2 linked regions of the Oreochromis niloticus genome follow. The protein of the gene in region 2 interacts with the protein of the main gene of each other region in a pairwise test. Links are inferred from orthologs where the notes say so. Each region holds a gene or a part of one and is shown on either strand. Other genes may lie near its edges.

Region 1 (7,797 bases), on a different chromosome or scaffold from region 2:
CAGTATTTTACAGTAAAGATCATCACCCTGGTCTAAAGTTCCTCTCCTGTCCTCCACCAAAAAGCATCGGATACAATGGAGTTTTTGTCCCAGGGCCGTTCACATACAAAGCACCAATGCGAGGGGCATAGAACTAGAAACACAACAAAACCTCTCAATAACATTTTAGCCTTGCTATAAAAAGCTCTTAAGATGTCCCACACAGCAGATCCTGACCTTGTGTCCCACTATGGTGAGGTAATCCACTCCCAGATCACTGACATCAACTCGGATTTTCCCCAACGCCTGAGCAGCATCTGTGTGGAGCAGGATCCTGAGGCGCTCACGCTGCTTGTTCAGAGACTTTATTCTTTGGCAGATCTCCTGAAGCGGCTGACAACAAGAAGGTGGTTCAGCATTCAGCTGTACACAGAGCTGCATAGACTCATAGACACATTGCAATTATAAGTAATGAGTTAATTAGAAAATAAGCTCCTTTAAAGCTAGACACTATCCTACGTGTTAATGGTCTAATTTAAGATCCCCAAAAATTATTTCTCTAACATTAGTATTGCAGGGATAGGCTCCAGCCCCTCCACGAACCTGAACTGGGTAAGTGGAAAAAAATTGATGAATGGATAGATTAGTACTAACAGAAACTCGGCTGATGGATTTTCTAGCCTCTCTCTCATCTTACCATAATGACTCCTGTCTCATTGTTGGCCAGCATAACAGAGATGAGACAAGTGTTGGGGCGCACAGCAGCAATGATATCCTCCACCTCTACCCGGGCTGTCACCTTAGACACGGGCACAAAAGTCACGTCTATGGAAAAAAACAAAAAACAAAGTTGAGAAAGTAATTAAAGGCAAGGAGCCCACATTAGGTTATGCGAATCTTGATTTGTTTAAAGGTACTTTTTGTAATTACCCTCCACAGAATTAAACCAAAACTTTCACCACTAGGAGGCAGTGCTTTAGCAGTTTATATGCCAAAATGACTAATTCTTTGGCAACATTTAACTTGAACCACCACTGGAAGACTATCAAGGACCCGGCACTATTTAAAAATGGAAATCAGTGCTTTTCAAGACCTTTTCAGAAACTCAATAATTAAAAATTAAAATGTAAAAAAGCAGAATTAAATTAAAGTTTTCCATTGGGTTAGCACTCTTACGTGTTGGCACATAGAAGGTACTACATCTTCATTAAAAAAAAGATTATGACATTAATGTTATTGGCCTTTAATTGTCTTGATTTTTATTTTAGACATTTTAATTATCCACAGGAAATCTGCAGCATGTTATTGAGAGAATTTTTTTTTAAGTACAATAAAGAAAATCCTACACTGTCCTTTGTAATACAAGAAATATTTCTTTATTAATCTTTTATTTTAATAAAAGCTACACAGAGTGGCCTCCTACCTGCTTTTCCTTCCTTTTCAAGGTGCTGAGCAACTAGTTTGACTGAGTCATGCTCCACATTAGAAGTGATGATGTGAGGAAGGCCCGTGCATCCATTCTGGTGTCCTGCACCCTGTTCTGCAGCCCTGCAGTGTTTCCTGAAGTGCTCTACAGCGGTGTGCAGCACCAGGTTATTGGCCTGAAAGACAAAATCTTTCCTGTAAACCACAGTTTGTAATGTCCCAGGATCATAAATGACTCACATAACTTATTTGCAACAGAAAAGAGCCCTGCCCACCTCAGTCCCGCCAGAGGTAAAAACGATGTCCTCTGCTTTCCCTCCAACCATTCTTGCCACATTTTCTCTGGACTGATTGATGATAGCCTTAGCTTTAGCACCTGAAAATATAAATGACTGAAACATTGAGATGTAGCATTCTCTTTTGATGGTGAAACTCATTTAAAACAGTAAAAACTTCACATTCAGCACTCAGAGAAAGCCACAAGTTTAATCCACACAAGCTGCTGTGATTGTATTCCCTCCTCCAGTTACACAATATACATTTAAGAGTTTCTATTATATTTATTTGGTAGAGTGACCTTGCCATATTTCATAAAGGAATACTGGCACAGAGTTAGAGCACTAATGTCCAATTCTTGTCACTAGTTTAGGATTTGCACACACAATGTGGAATTTTAACAAAAATTCTCACAAAACTTTATTTAATACACATGGAAAAATAAAAATAACAACAATTATTTTAAACCTTTTAATTCTGACACAGCTTCAAGCCTTCCTCACCTGCTATATAGTTGCTACTCGGGTTTCCCCAGGCATCCTGGAGGGCTTCAGAAATGGCCTGAATCACCTCTGATTCTGGAGGGGTAGTAGCATTGTAATCCATGTAGATCCTGAATTACACAAAAAAAACCTCTGATCACACTTTGTGCATTGTGCTACGGGAAGTTTATGCATCATAACATATTAATAAACTATCTAATGACAAGATCAACTCATAAAAAAGTCAAATTTCAATTACTTAAATTACAATCAATTATTTGGGTTTCTGATCATTCTTAAAATAAGAAAAATATTTTTTTAAAATGCACAAATTTTCTAAAACCTACCTATAACCTGAGTAATTATGATAAATCAATAGTATTTTTGCTGTAATTCAGCAGTCCTAAGTTACAGCATCACTGCTGCTGTACTATTAACTTGATATATATCAACATTATTTTCTTACCTGTCTAGATTCATCTCTGAAAAGTGATGAAAATTATGTTCACTGAAGGTGGGACCCTGTACCAACGGGACATCATCAAGCTTTTTGGCCATAATACCCTTGGAGAGGAAAGAACATTTAATTCATTTACCTGGATGTCTGTGTGTAGATAAATTACATTATAACTAGAATATAACTACCATCAGTCTGTCTGCAAATAAGATGACATTCACTGACGGCAGATGCTGATACTTTGTGTGTGTGTCCGTTTATTTACTTTATTCTGATATCTGGGATCCAGTTTTTTGTTCAGTCACACGTCAAAATGTGACTGAACGAGTTTAGACCTTTACCCTGAATCTGCCCAACAAAAGTGTAAAAACTGATACCAGCCTTAGTCTATAAAACAGGATTATAAATAAAGACTAAAGTATTTATCGATTTCAGTAAGTTGTTTTAATTATACAAAGATATACACATTATTATTTTGCATAAAATACAAGATTTTGTTCATCTGTGCTGCTATCTGTAATCTGTAGAGGCAGTAGACTGACAGGATATGGAAAACAGAGACGTGTTGTTGAATCTGCAATTCTTGGATATTTCACAGTTCATCTGCTGCTTTGTTTTTTAATGGATTTAAATGGATTTCTCATCGATGAGAAACATCTCAGAGATGCTGTTTATTTCTAAAGTGACAGCTGCACATTAGAAATGAAACTGAAACGTAGTGATTGAATATTCTCTGTGATAAATAGCTTAAATGACTGCCTAACTTGTGTCCCATTCGCTGCATTTCCAGCAGTGTAAAACTTGTCTAAAACTTTTTCATGGATTTTCTGCATCACAAACTGAATGCTTGCCAACTCCAGTGACTGTGCCACGCACACGGTTTGGATTGCTTCCTCACGCAGTGTTAGTCACGTACAGCTCCACAAATTTATGAATAAAAATGCGCACTTATTAGCAGACCCTCTATAGTGCCAAAAGTTCAGTGAACACAGTCTTAAAAAAGATTATTTTGGTCATAGTTGTCCAGTGTCCTCTGGTAGCCAGCAAACGTAACATCCAGCGACCTGTTCACAACACTCTAGTCAACCAGCACACAGAAAACGCATTAAAAGAACCACAGATATCTTTAGGGACACTGTCGGTCAGCTCGAGCTCTTCATTATCCACCTAACGCTAACTTTCTGTGACAGCTCTCACTTTAGCCTGCAGCTAGCTAATTTTTAGCTAACTTAGTTTCGCTATAAGATCGTATTTAACTGTGATTCCGCCTTTAAGCTTAAATTTATAAAGAAACTGAATCCTCCAGGGACAGCCAAAGCTTTGTATCTGACCTTGTAAGCTGATGTGAAGATTTCCTAAATGGATTTACAACTCTACGGGTCAATCATCAGCCAGCTAGCATGTTTCTGTCACGTCCCAGACAGGGTTGCCAGATTTGTTAAAGAAAACCCACAGTTTAATATCTCGAAGAAACCGCACAAGAAATATTAATTTATTATGTAGAAGAGTTGAGTGTTACTGTCATGTTCTTCAGTGTTTTATTCTTTATTTTGTAAATATAATTAATTACTAAATAGCAAAAATTATTCAGAGATTTGTCACCTCACAACTTGGGGAAGACTCAGAAGGGTTAGTTTTAATTTAGTTTGAAGTCCGGCAGGTACCATGTTGAAAAAATAATTTAAAAAACCCCCCAGCAACTTAAATCTAGTAGATGAAAACTTATATTAACAGTAAGTAAGTAAAATAAGAAGAGAATTATTTTAGAAACAGCTCTTAAAAAACGTTGACACACAGACATGGCAACACTGGCGTCTGCTGCTTAGCAACAGCCAGGGAGCTGAAAGTGCCAGGAGTATTTAATTTCTCTGAGCGTAGTTGTTCTCCGATTAATTCATTCTTAATAGTCTGTATTCATTTGGGACTTTTAATTTATAATAATCCATAATTTTTCTGTAAATTTTTTTTTTTTAGCGTGGCCGAGGACTACACATCTCTAAATACAACTTTTCATGAGCTCAGAAAAACAGGCAGTGTACCTGTATTTACTAAGATACACGCATATATTAACAAAAATCAAGGCTGAATTTAAAGAGTCAAAGGGGGTGATTAAAAAAAATCAATGCAAATTCAGGGTGGTGTATTAGCAAATTAATCTGTCAAGCCTCAACCATGCAGGTGGTTATATGTGAAAATGGCCTTGTTCTGCTTGTCTGTTTTAGGAGATGATGGTCCCCGCTTCATGATCTGAATCTATATGCGATACCTTTCCTCATTAACAAGTTAACGTCATTATTAAAGGTTTCTTTACACCAAATAGTGATAAAATACTACATACTGATTAGCAGGGACGAAAAGTGATAGAGCCAAAGTAATTCTAAAAGTCACCCCGTAGCCATCTTGATTGGTATGGACCATGTGTAACTTAGACAGTTATTTTAATTTTATTTTAACTGAAACATTAAATTCACTCTAACATAAAAAGGCTGATTAATTAAAAAAAGTTGTTTCTTTTTAGAGTTAAAAGTTATTTTAGAAAAAAAAATTTTTTTAAAGCTATTTTGTTCTCTTTGGAAGCTGTTGTGGAAATCTCCCAACGATTTCAGTTCAGGATTCTTCGTCTCCGTCTTGTCCCTGAGCCTGGCCAGTAATGGATTCTGGGGTCTGATATGAATTTTAAGAAACATTTTTAAATATAGATATGAACTAATTTTCTTATACTCTATTACAACTACATTATATGGAGGAAATGATGGGGTCATTTTCAGCAATGTTTTTCACAAATGACATGAACTATATATAAAAGATTGATGCAGGTTCCCTAATAATGAAGCTGCTGAAATGTTTTAACTCACATTTTATGTTCAAAGACTTTCAGTCATATAGAAGTGTATGAAAAACCGCCTTGGCTACTTAACCTGTGAACTCAGTGAATGTTTTCCTGATGACTTTATGGGCTCACAGCTCACAAACTGCAGGCCTCAATTTTTTACAGTTTACTGCATCATGAAAAGTATGTGTGATTTGTACTCTGGTGAAGACTATTAAAACATAGGACACCAACATACAGTTCTCACCTTCATGATTCTAACACTAATACAGCTGGCTTGGGCTTAGAGTCACTTCAACATAAGGACTGACATGTGACATGTTTCTATGCTGAGCATAGTTACCTGTTAGATAGCTGATTAGCCAAGCAATGCAGAAGGAGGAACAGTTAGCTGTAACTGATGTCATGACAGACTAAAGTGATGCATCTATGTCTTAGCTGCAAAGTCTGCCAGATGGACTTTGATGGCAGAGCTCTTTGGGTGTCTGATTTGGGTTTTTGGAGTTTGGATCTTCCAGATAAACATTATTACCATCATAACAACATCTGCGATTGCCCAACTGACAATCCAAAAACAAAAGTTGTATTGTCTTTAACAAAAAAAAGAGACAAGTCATTTTTTTGTGTTGCATATTTTCCATGTTTATTTCATATATGACAATGTGTTTAGTGTACACAAACAGCTGACGCTAAAACTCCAACACTCAGAGACATTGACTGAACTACGGCCCATTTGTAAATGGGTGCAACTTTATAATACAGTGTTCACAGCAATCATGTTTATATACAATGCAAAAAATATCTGAAGAGAAAGAAAAGTAATGGTGTGAAAAAGATATGGAAGCACAAAAATGGAAATGATGTTCCTTGAAAAGGGGAGGGTTTAGAAAAAGTAGATTTAGTGAAGGCTGCCAAGCGCATGATGGTGATACTGAACACTCGACAGTAAGGTAACCTACAGCATTACTCTGTACATGATGCCCAGCTGGGACACAGTGAACCACCCCCCCCCCATACATTAGTGGACAGACCGCTTCAGCCATGTCCCACAGCCTCCAAAAGGTTCCCTGATATTAACCTACCTACAATCAACAAGGAACCGGAATGTGAAGACAATTCAAAACGATTATTTCAGCGGAATAAGTATTTTCAAAGATCAGTTTACATTCAGTGTGACATTTGTGTGACTGCAACAACAAAACTTTGGTTGGCTCAAATGTGATGTACATTAAAAGGCCAATAAAAACATGAGGAAAAAAATCATGGAGACCAGACTGGAGCAAACCCGGGGACACGCATTCGTTTTTCTGACCATGTTGGATTTCAGGAAATGAGATGTGACAAAAACATGTTTGAGATATGGTGGCCTACAGTACACTTTAATCTGTTTGTTACAAAAAAGTACTGGTTGTTTGATTTGTCACAACTGTCGATGAACTGATGATTTCCATAACACACAGAATACTTTACAACCTCTGAAAAGATACTTCTTATTAGACGTAATGAAGGTATTACATCAGCAGCCAAACTAAGAACATACTGAACTGGAGTTATGTTTAATTTTACTCTCACTTACTCTCAAATGACATGTCATGCTCTCACTGAGCGTGCTCTCTAGGCTGGATGACCTGAGGCATGCTCACCAGTCTAACTTCTCACAACAGCTCACACGCTTTATCTGTTGAGGGTTTTAAACGAGGCACGGTTGCATTTTCATCAATAATTTGCCAACAGGACTAAAACTGTGTAAAAGGAGCCCCGACTATTTAACTTGTGGGCCTTAATATGCTTTAAACAGCCAATATTCAACAAAACTGTTGAAAAATGTCATTGTTTTAAAAAGTCTTTCAGGTTTAACACACATTTTTACCTATCTGCAAGTACTATTAGTATGTAATGCATTCTGGGTCAGTGACATAAACTAAATGCTCTTTTTAACAACCTGCAGTATACAGACCATAAACAGTATCACTGCTACTTTTGATTGTAATTTCCAGCAGTAAGGAAACAAGAGATATGATTATCAATCTGCTGCTGCTGAGAAAAGGAGAAAGAACCTGTGGCTGCATTCTCAGCACTAATGCATTTAATGCATTTCACTAAAAAAGCTGACAAATACTGCTGGAAATGATGACTGAAACTAAATGCTGTTCCAGCAATCGTTTTATAGGAGTCCAAATATTTTTTGGTAGTGATTTAAAATAGCTTGAAGAAACCTGAAAAATGGGAAACAATAGCTGCTGCTGACAGTAAACCCTCTGCTCTGAAAGCAAAGGTCACGAAACTGTTCACAGAAAAAGTGAAAATCTGACCATTCAGTCTAACCTTCTGCTTGGACTTGAAATGAC
Region 2 (7,302 bases):
AGGCAAATTAATGGAAATAAATCCCCAACATAAAGCATTTTAGTAAGAAGATCTAGTGACTGTGAAAGCCATGAAGTAAAATTTACATTCATATTTAAACCACTTAGTTCCCTGAGGATGACTCCTGGAAGAGACGACTACCATCGGGATAGAACTTTTTCAGCACAGGAGAAAGGCCATCGTTTAAAATCTTCATATTGACTTTCAATGAGGGGACAAACCATGCTAGGAGACTGCTCTCTGCCACACAGGCGCTCATCCACCAGTCGAGAATACGACCACTCGCTCTCAAATGTGCACTGCTCATTGTAATGAGGGATGAATGCAGTGCAGCTCTATTGTAATTGTTTTACAGTAGGGCGGTTCTTGGTGACAGTCTGATTACATCCTGCACTGACATCCTCATTCATCTGAGAAGGAGTTGCTCTTTACTTTTACTGGGTGCACTGATGCACGACCATCACTTTTATCAAATGTGTGCAGTCGACCACAGCTTCCAACCCCGTTTTACTGACGCCTTTCCCATTGATCTAAATCGCTCAGAGCAGCATGGGACCGTAAATCTAAACACATTCAATGAAAAATCAATCAGTGCCTTCCATCTGTCCTCCTATCAGTATCAGATATTCTTTTTTTAGTACAATAACTTTATTGTATGTAATGAATCCATGCTTCCTCTTACAAAATGAGGTACATGTCCTCTGAATACACTCTTTTATAGTCTACAGTATTTCTCCAGCATTTTTTAATACTCATAACTTAGGAGGTGAAAAACAAATTGGAGCTTTGTTAAAAGCAGCAACCAAATCAATGTAACGCCCACTGCAAGTGTCAGGATCTAAAGTAAAGTTTTAAATGGGATATATTGGAGTTTTGGTCATTCACTGAAAAAAAAAAAAAAAAAAAAAAGCATTTGGGTCAATTTTAAAGGGTCACCATGTCAGATTGGAGGCAGGTCAAAACAAGATATATCATTTACCTACATTTTTACACTGGGGTCACCTTCTTCTTTGCAATCTAAATCATTTTTTAACACAGTCATGATTTAATACTACTTTCGCTCTCATAGATTTTAAATTTGTGCAGTTTTGCTATTAAAGCTAGGATCTAGCCCATAATACTGATGCTCAAAGTTTGCTCAGGGGCTATAGAAAAAAACATTACACTGCCTCTACTATGAACATCCTGTCTAAGATCATTAAGGACAGCGTAATGGGTATCTGTGTCTATTTTAACTTTCACTTCAAGTTAAAATAAGTTTGTATTTGATGCATCTTAATTGTATGCACTGCTCAGGGAGATGCTCCAAATTTCATTGTGCACCTATACAGAGACAAATACATGCATTCTATTCTCTTCTATTCTAGGATGTGACATTTTGAGCACGTGTAAAGTTCATATGGTTGCACTTTTTAGCGGAGTATAAATGAAATTAAAGGTTCATTTTAAGTAGATATATTTTGTAGAAGAAGTTATGAGGGTTTGAGATGCTAGAAGAAATAAGCCAAATTAAAAAGTGCCAAAATCTGACCCACTCATGCCCTCTTCAAGGGACTGCAACATTGAAAATGGTCATTCTGAAGGTAAAATTTTGGCTTTATTAATCACACTAAAAATATATATGTGTGTGTGTGTGTGTGTGTGTGTGTGTGTGTGTGTGTGTGTGTGCGCGTGTGTGTATTTTGTTGTTTTAGTATGGAATGATTCTGCTCTCACTTTACTCACTGCTCCTGCTGAAACACCAGGAGTTGTGTGACTGTCACATAGATACTTTTTCCCCATTATCCCATTACTTAGATCATAATCTGAATTAGCAGGACCTGCCTAGGATTTTCCTACATGCTATGGATGCCAATTACTTAACTGTACCATGTACTGCACCTTCGACCTTCAGTCATTTTTATTTGTCACCACTCTTATCCCTGTTCTACACTGGATTCAAATTTGAGGTGGGTTGATCAATCCAAATATAGTATCAATAGTATTGATACCAACACTGCTTTTGGTATCAGATCCATACTAGTGCAATAGGAACGATACTTTGTTTCTATCCTCTAAGTTCAGTATCTAGCCCAAGGAATTGCTTTAAATCATTTTTAGTGAAAAATATACTTCAGGTATGCACTATGAAAAAATTACAGGAATCTTTTTTTGTGTTAACCTCCACATCAATTTTATTTATAGCTTATAGCACATTATAAGCTAGAGAATTTAACCTAACGTGCTGCACATTTAGACTGCAAGTCTCCAAAAAAGCCATTTTCACAGAAAGCTAAAAGATGCGTTTTTATGTGTTAACTAATTATAGTGAAAAGTAACAATGACAGCGATTTAATGCTCATTAAATCTGTTGCAAATGAATGACGATTTATTAATTTTCTTTTACAATTTACAATTATCGGTATCGGCAATATTGGCCGTCTATGTACCTGGTATCAGATCGATACCAAAAATCTACAGTATCGCACACTACTGCAGCCATTTTCATTTAGTTCAAGTGCAATGCACACATTATGTGGGGTTCAACTACCAAGCCTTCTTACTAAAGCAGATAAGTAAGAGTCAGACAGATGGCATATCAGACACGGTGCTCACCATCCTGCAGGGCCCATGGTCTCTGCTCTCACGCGGGCTCTGTCAGTCTCCCTGAGGAGCTCCTCCACTGCACGCCTAGATGGATAAATAAAGAGAAAAAACGTCAAACACTGTTCACATGCAGGGGAGGAGAAATGGGGAGAAGCCGAGGACAAAGATGGCGCAAATCCTCAAGGGGGAGCCAAGGGGAGAATAATCTAATTAAGTGAGAGAAAACAGAGTGATGCGGAAGAGAAAGTGAATCATCAGGAGCAAAAGGGGAACAGTGTCCTGGTTTGACCCGAGCTGCTGAATCGGCACAATCCCAGCAGAGGAGACCCGCTGATCTACTTTTATAAAGGACAGGCAGCTGATGGTGTGTGCCACCACGAAGGCAGGCTTTCCATACAATCACAAGCTCGTCTAACAACACAATAAATGAGGCTCTTTTTTACCGACGGAGCGCTGTTACGGATTTAGAGGAAACCTGCGTTCAACAGTGCGCAAATACCGAGTGAGGACAAATATTAACACAGCTACATACTTCTCCAGCTCATTATCTTCTGCCATCGCGATCACACGCAAGCTTAATTGCGCTAAAATCGATGGATGATCGTTAATTAACCCAACATCGCTTGTTTACCTCCTCGCGAGGTCCTCCGACCGAGGACCCCGAGGATTTTTGCTGCCCTGAATAATGCCAGATCATTTTTAACTTCACCGTCCACCCTTTTCTGTTTTCTGCCATTTCCCAAATAACTTTCGTGGACAGTAACCGACTAAAACGTTATAATAAAAAAAAAGAAATCCTGATATTTAGGTCTGGGCTCTGTTTATCACACAGTTAACAAAATGTACCCGTTTAGTAAAACGAAAGCGATGCCGCAGTGGTTGTTTTTAATTCCCCATTTTTACCGTAAACTGGTATAAAGCTGCTGTGTTCATCAAAAATATTAGCTTAACTTAAGAAGTTGGCAGTGGTTTTGTCGTCATTATTTCTGACCATAGAACGACCTAAATTCTGGTGAGGTTTGTTTATTTTATTGCTCTGCTTGGTGAATGTTATACGTCAGTGGAAAGGTTTTTGTGCTAATTAACTATTAACATCTCTCAAAACTTGTTGAGAAAGGGAGACATTCTCATCTTTAAAAGCGGCATTTATCCAAAACTGAAAGCTGTAATATTAAGTTTCACTTATTATTTAAAATAAAACTAAGTCATGTTAATAAGTTTTAATCTCACGCCCCCTTTAAACCTTTATAACAGTAGCCTACAATGTAACCAGTAATCTTCAAAAAGAATAACTTACAGTATGTATGCATTTATTTATTTACGTTTTTGTTTGTTCCCTGTATTTATTTATTTATTTATTTATGTATATGTATTTACTTATGTATTTTGCATGTATGTATGTATGTATGTATGTATGTATGTATGTTTATATATTTATTTATTTAGTTATACGTGTTTATTCGTGTATCGATTTACCTATGTTTGTCTGCGTTACAAATATATCTGTTTATTTTGATGTGTTTGCTGACTTATTAGAATTTTTATGCATAAATATATTTAAACGCATTTTGTTTTATTATTTATTTTTATATTATATTATTTACTTATTTATTTGTCTATTTGGTTGTTAATTATTTATTTACGAAAAGGCGGTCTTAAAGCCACCCCCTAGCTCTCCTCTGGATTGACAACCGTATGCCCCGCCCACTCGGTTTTGACGGACAGCAGTGGGCGGGGTCAGCGCTGCCAAAGGCACGGGGGCGTTTTCGTGCGGGTTTTGCGGAACGGTCCGTTGCGGTGGATGCGTGATTGAGGTCCCGCGGCTAATAATCACCCCCCTTTTTGGGGCCGGAGTGCACGGCGCGGAGGAGCCGCCGGAAAAGGTAACGTCACATCACATCTGCCCGCGCGAGCGGTGTCAGTGTGTGGCTGGCTTTGCTTTCTATGCTGCTGTCGCCTCATCGGTCCCAGGTTTTTCCGCTTGTGGGGAGGGTGGGATGGAGTCAGACAGATGGGGGGCAATGATTAAAAAGAATTTCTGGTATATGCAAGACTGTCGGGCTTGCGTATTTGATCATGACACTGCAGTGGGAGCGCTCCCAAGGTAGATCAGGTCTATGCCAGAAAAAAATAATTGTAAATTTAAATTAAATCAGTGTCTTTTTTTTTGTTTTTTTTTTTTGTTATCTTTGTGTGTCTGGGTGGTGTGGAGGGGGGTGGTTTAAGAAAAAAAGGCAGCCTATTGCAACAGACCTTGCAGAACAGCAGCAGCAGCAGGCCTGTTCCTGCAAGTGGCTACCAGAGCCTTTTTTTAAGATAAGAGAGATGGGGTTTTATGAAAATGTAGGCTAAGCCGAGAGGACCTGAGATTTTAAATCTGTGGCCTAAAACATCATTTCATCTTCTTTGAAAATGTAATTCCTGCACACTGGACTGCCATGTCCTGTAAGATTAGATTGTCATTTCGAACAATAAGCAGAGAGACAAGAGTGTTATTTACTGAAATGGAAAGCAGTGCAATGACAATAACAGCCTGGCCTTGGACTCTCATACACACACGTACATACACACTGTGTGGTGGGATTAAAAGAGATATTCTACAAGCATTTGCCAGTCTTCATATTGTTTGTATAAAAGAATCTGTTGCAACAGCTCTGTTTAAAACACATTTAAGTGCTTTTCACTGCTCTGAAGTGCCGTCACAGTGAAAACACGAAGACTTTACTTATTGATAAAGACCATTCACAGGTACCTAAAAACGCTCTTGTGCTTGATGTGCGTGTTTGCTTTTGGTTGTGTAGACTTACGCTCGCATGTCTACGAGTGTGTGTGTGTACGTGTGTTTGTTTGTGTGTGTGTGTGTGATGTGGTGATGTCACATCTTTGTTATAGAAACAGAGAAGCCTTGTGTCCTCATGATTAATTCATGTCCAGCTGCGGGATAGAGACAGAAGCAGCCAGTCACACGCAGACAGGAGGAGCACGTACTTAAAGGAGGCTGAAATAAGTAACTACCGGTGGGGTGGCCAAGGAGACAGGAGGGACAGGTTGTCACAAGGAAGGAAAAAAAAAAGACCCAGACGAGATGAAAAAAGCAGAAAAAAACGACTCAAGGGGACTCTCATCATCATCGTCTGCGCTGTCTGACAAGCTTTCAGGCTGTACCGAGGAGGAGGAGAGCATCCTGCTGAGAGGAGTGCATCTGTTGTGTGGCTCCTCTGCATCCTTCTCTGGCTACACTCTGAATGTCAAGCCCCACTGAGCAGAACGGGATCCAGGTCGTCATGGAGACAGGAGCAGACCCTCGCTGGAACAGAGGCAGGTAGTCACTGTATCTTGGCTGGGCCCGCTGAGCGTAGAGGCACGCCCTCTGCTGTCGGCTGATAGCATCTGGCCCCTCGGAGGCTGGGCTAATAGAAGGGCCGAGGGGGTCTGAGGGGCTTTGGATGTGAAACGCTGTGGAAATGATCAGCGCACACTGCGGTGCATTAGCTCTGGGGACACGCTCTGCTCACTGGAGTGCTATATTTCAAGACTTTGCTTTGGGCGTGTTCTCTTTCCGTTGTAGAGGAGACTGAGTTCATCTACTGTACCCAGCCTGAACCAAAAATATCAAGCGTTTTCCTTGGCTTCCCCCTCCTTCCCTCCATCCTCTCTTCCATTTCATGTTCTTATTCTTCCCTTGTACCTGTTTTCACATCCCATTGATCTCTTCTTCTTTTTCTTATTCCACCTGTCTACGCTCCCTTCCATATCTTGTCGGCACCACTTTCCTTTTCTGCTGCTTTCCCAAGCTCACTTTCTCTGATCTGTGCCCTCTCTCTGCCTCAATCCCAGATAATTCCCTCTTTGTGGAATTGGAAGATTGGAGCAGGCGAGAGCAAAAGAGAGATTATACTACCAGATTAGTGGACAGAAGCAGCAATACATAATCTCAGCTGTGACATAAATGGGCACACACACACACTCGGTGTCACCCTCGGTCTCATGCAAACACGTGGGCACACGTGCACAAAGCATTTGCCACATGAATAAATGCCCAACACTTGTTGTCTTGTTTTTTTCTGAAACAGCTGTTTAACTCTCTTGTTTTGGCCTCTGACCCACAGGGTGATGTGCCATCAGCCACTGGGGGGCATCTGTCCTCTCCGCCACCTGTTCAGCCTCTGAAGCTTATGGGATAGGAGTGTGTGCGCCCCTTCCCAACCGCTCTGCATCCCAGCTGGACTCAGTCGTGCCAAAGCTGAATTGTGTTGAAGGAGAAGACATGGGCAGCCCGGGCTCCGAGGTGGGTCTGGCTGGGTCCATGGAGCCAGCTCTGGAGGCTCTGTGTCCCGAGTGTGGCCAGATCCACCGCAGCTGGGAAAACCACCTTTACAACTACCGTCTGGAAGTGGACGACGATCTGGTGTGCCACATCTGCCTGCAACCGCTGGTGCAGCCTCTCGATACGCCATGCGGACACACCTTCTGCGCCCGCTGCCTGCGTAGCTTCCTCCAGGAGAGGGACTTCTGCCCTCTGGACAGGACGCGGCTGCAGCTGCAGGCATGTCGCAGGTCCAGCATCCTGGTGCACAAGCTGCTGGACAAGCTGTCTGTGTCCTGCCCTTTGACCCCTGTCTGCTCCCTCAGCATGCCTCGCTGTGACCTGGAGGCGCACCTTAAACACAGGTAATAAAGCTTGTATGCAGATGGATGAATGCATGAGATCATTAT

The links. The genes of interacting proteins can lie anywhere in the genome.
Region 1: the proteins of lnx2a (region 2) and scly interact in binary tests that used the Homo sapiens proteins (3 or more experiments, as listed by UniProt). The link is inferred for Oreochromis niloticus from reciprocal best matches to the Homo sapiens genes LNX2 and SCLY.

What each region holds. Positions count from the first base shown.
Region 1 is NC_031986.2:32,420,359-32,428,155, reverse strand, and holds the start of scly (selenocysteine lyase), read right to left. Parts: upstream 3,019-7,797; 5' UTR 2,811-3,018; coding exon 2,808-2,810; intron 2,727-2,807; coding exon 2,629-2,726; intron 2,294-2,628; coding exon 2,184-2,293; intron 1,781-2,183; coding exon 1,680-1,780; intron 1,581-1,679; coding exon 1,403-1,580; intron 805-1,402; coding exon 677-804; intron 373-676; coding exon 217-372; intron 134-216; coding exon 27-133; intron 1-26. UniProt on the Homo sapiens protein: Catalyzes the decomposition of L-selenocysteine to L-alanine and elemental selenium.
Region 2 is NC_031974.2:18,923,273-18,930,574, reverse strand, and holds the start of lnx2a (ligand of Numb protein X 2a), read left to right. Parts: upstream 1-4,295; 5' UTR 4,296-4,469; intron 4,470-5,520; 5' UTR 5,521-5,908; intron 5,909-6,695; 5' UTR 6,696-6,853; coding exon 6,854-7,257; intron 7,258-7,302.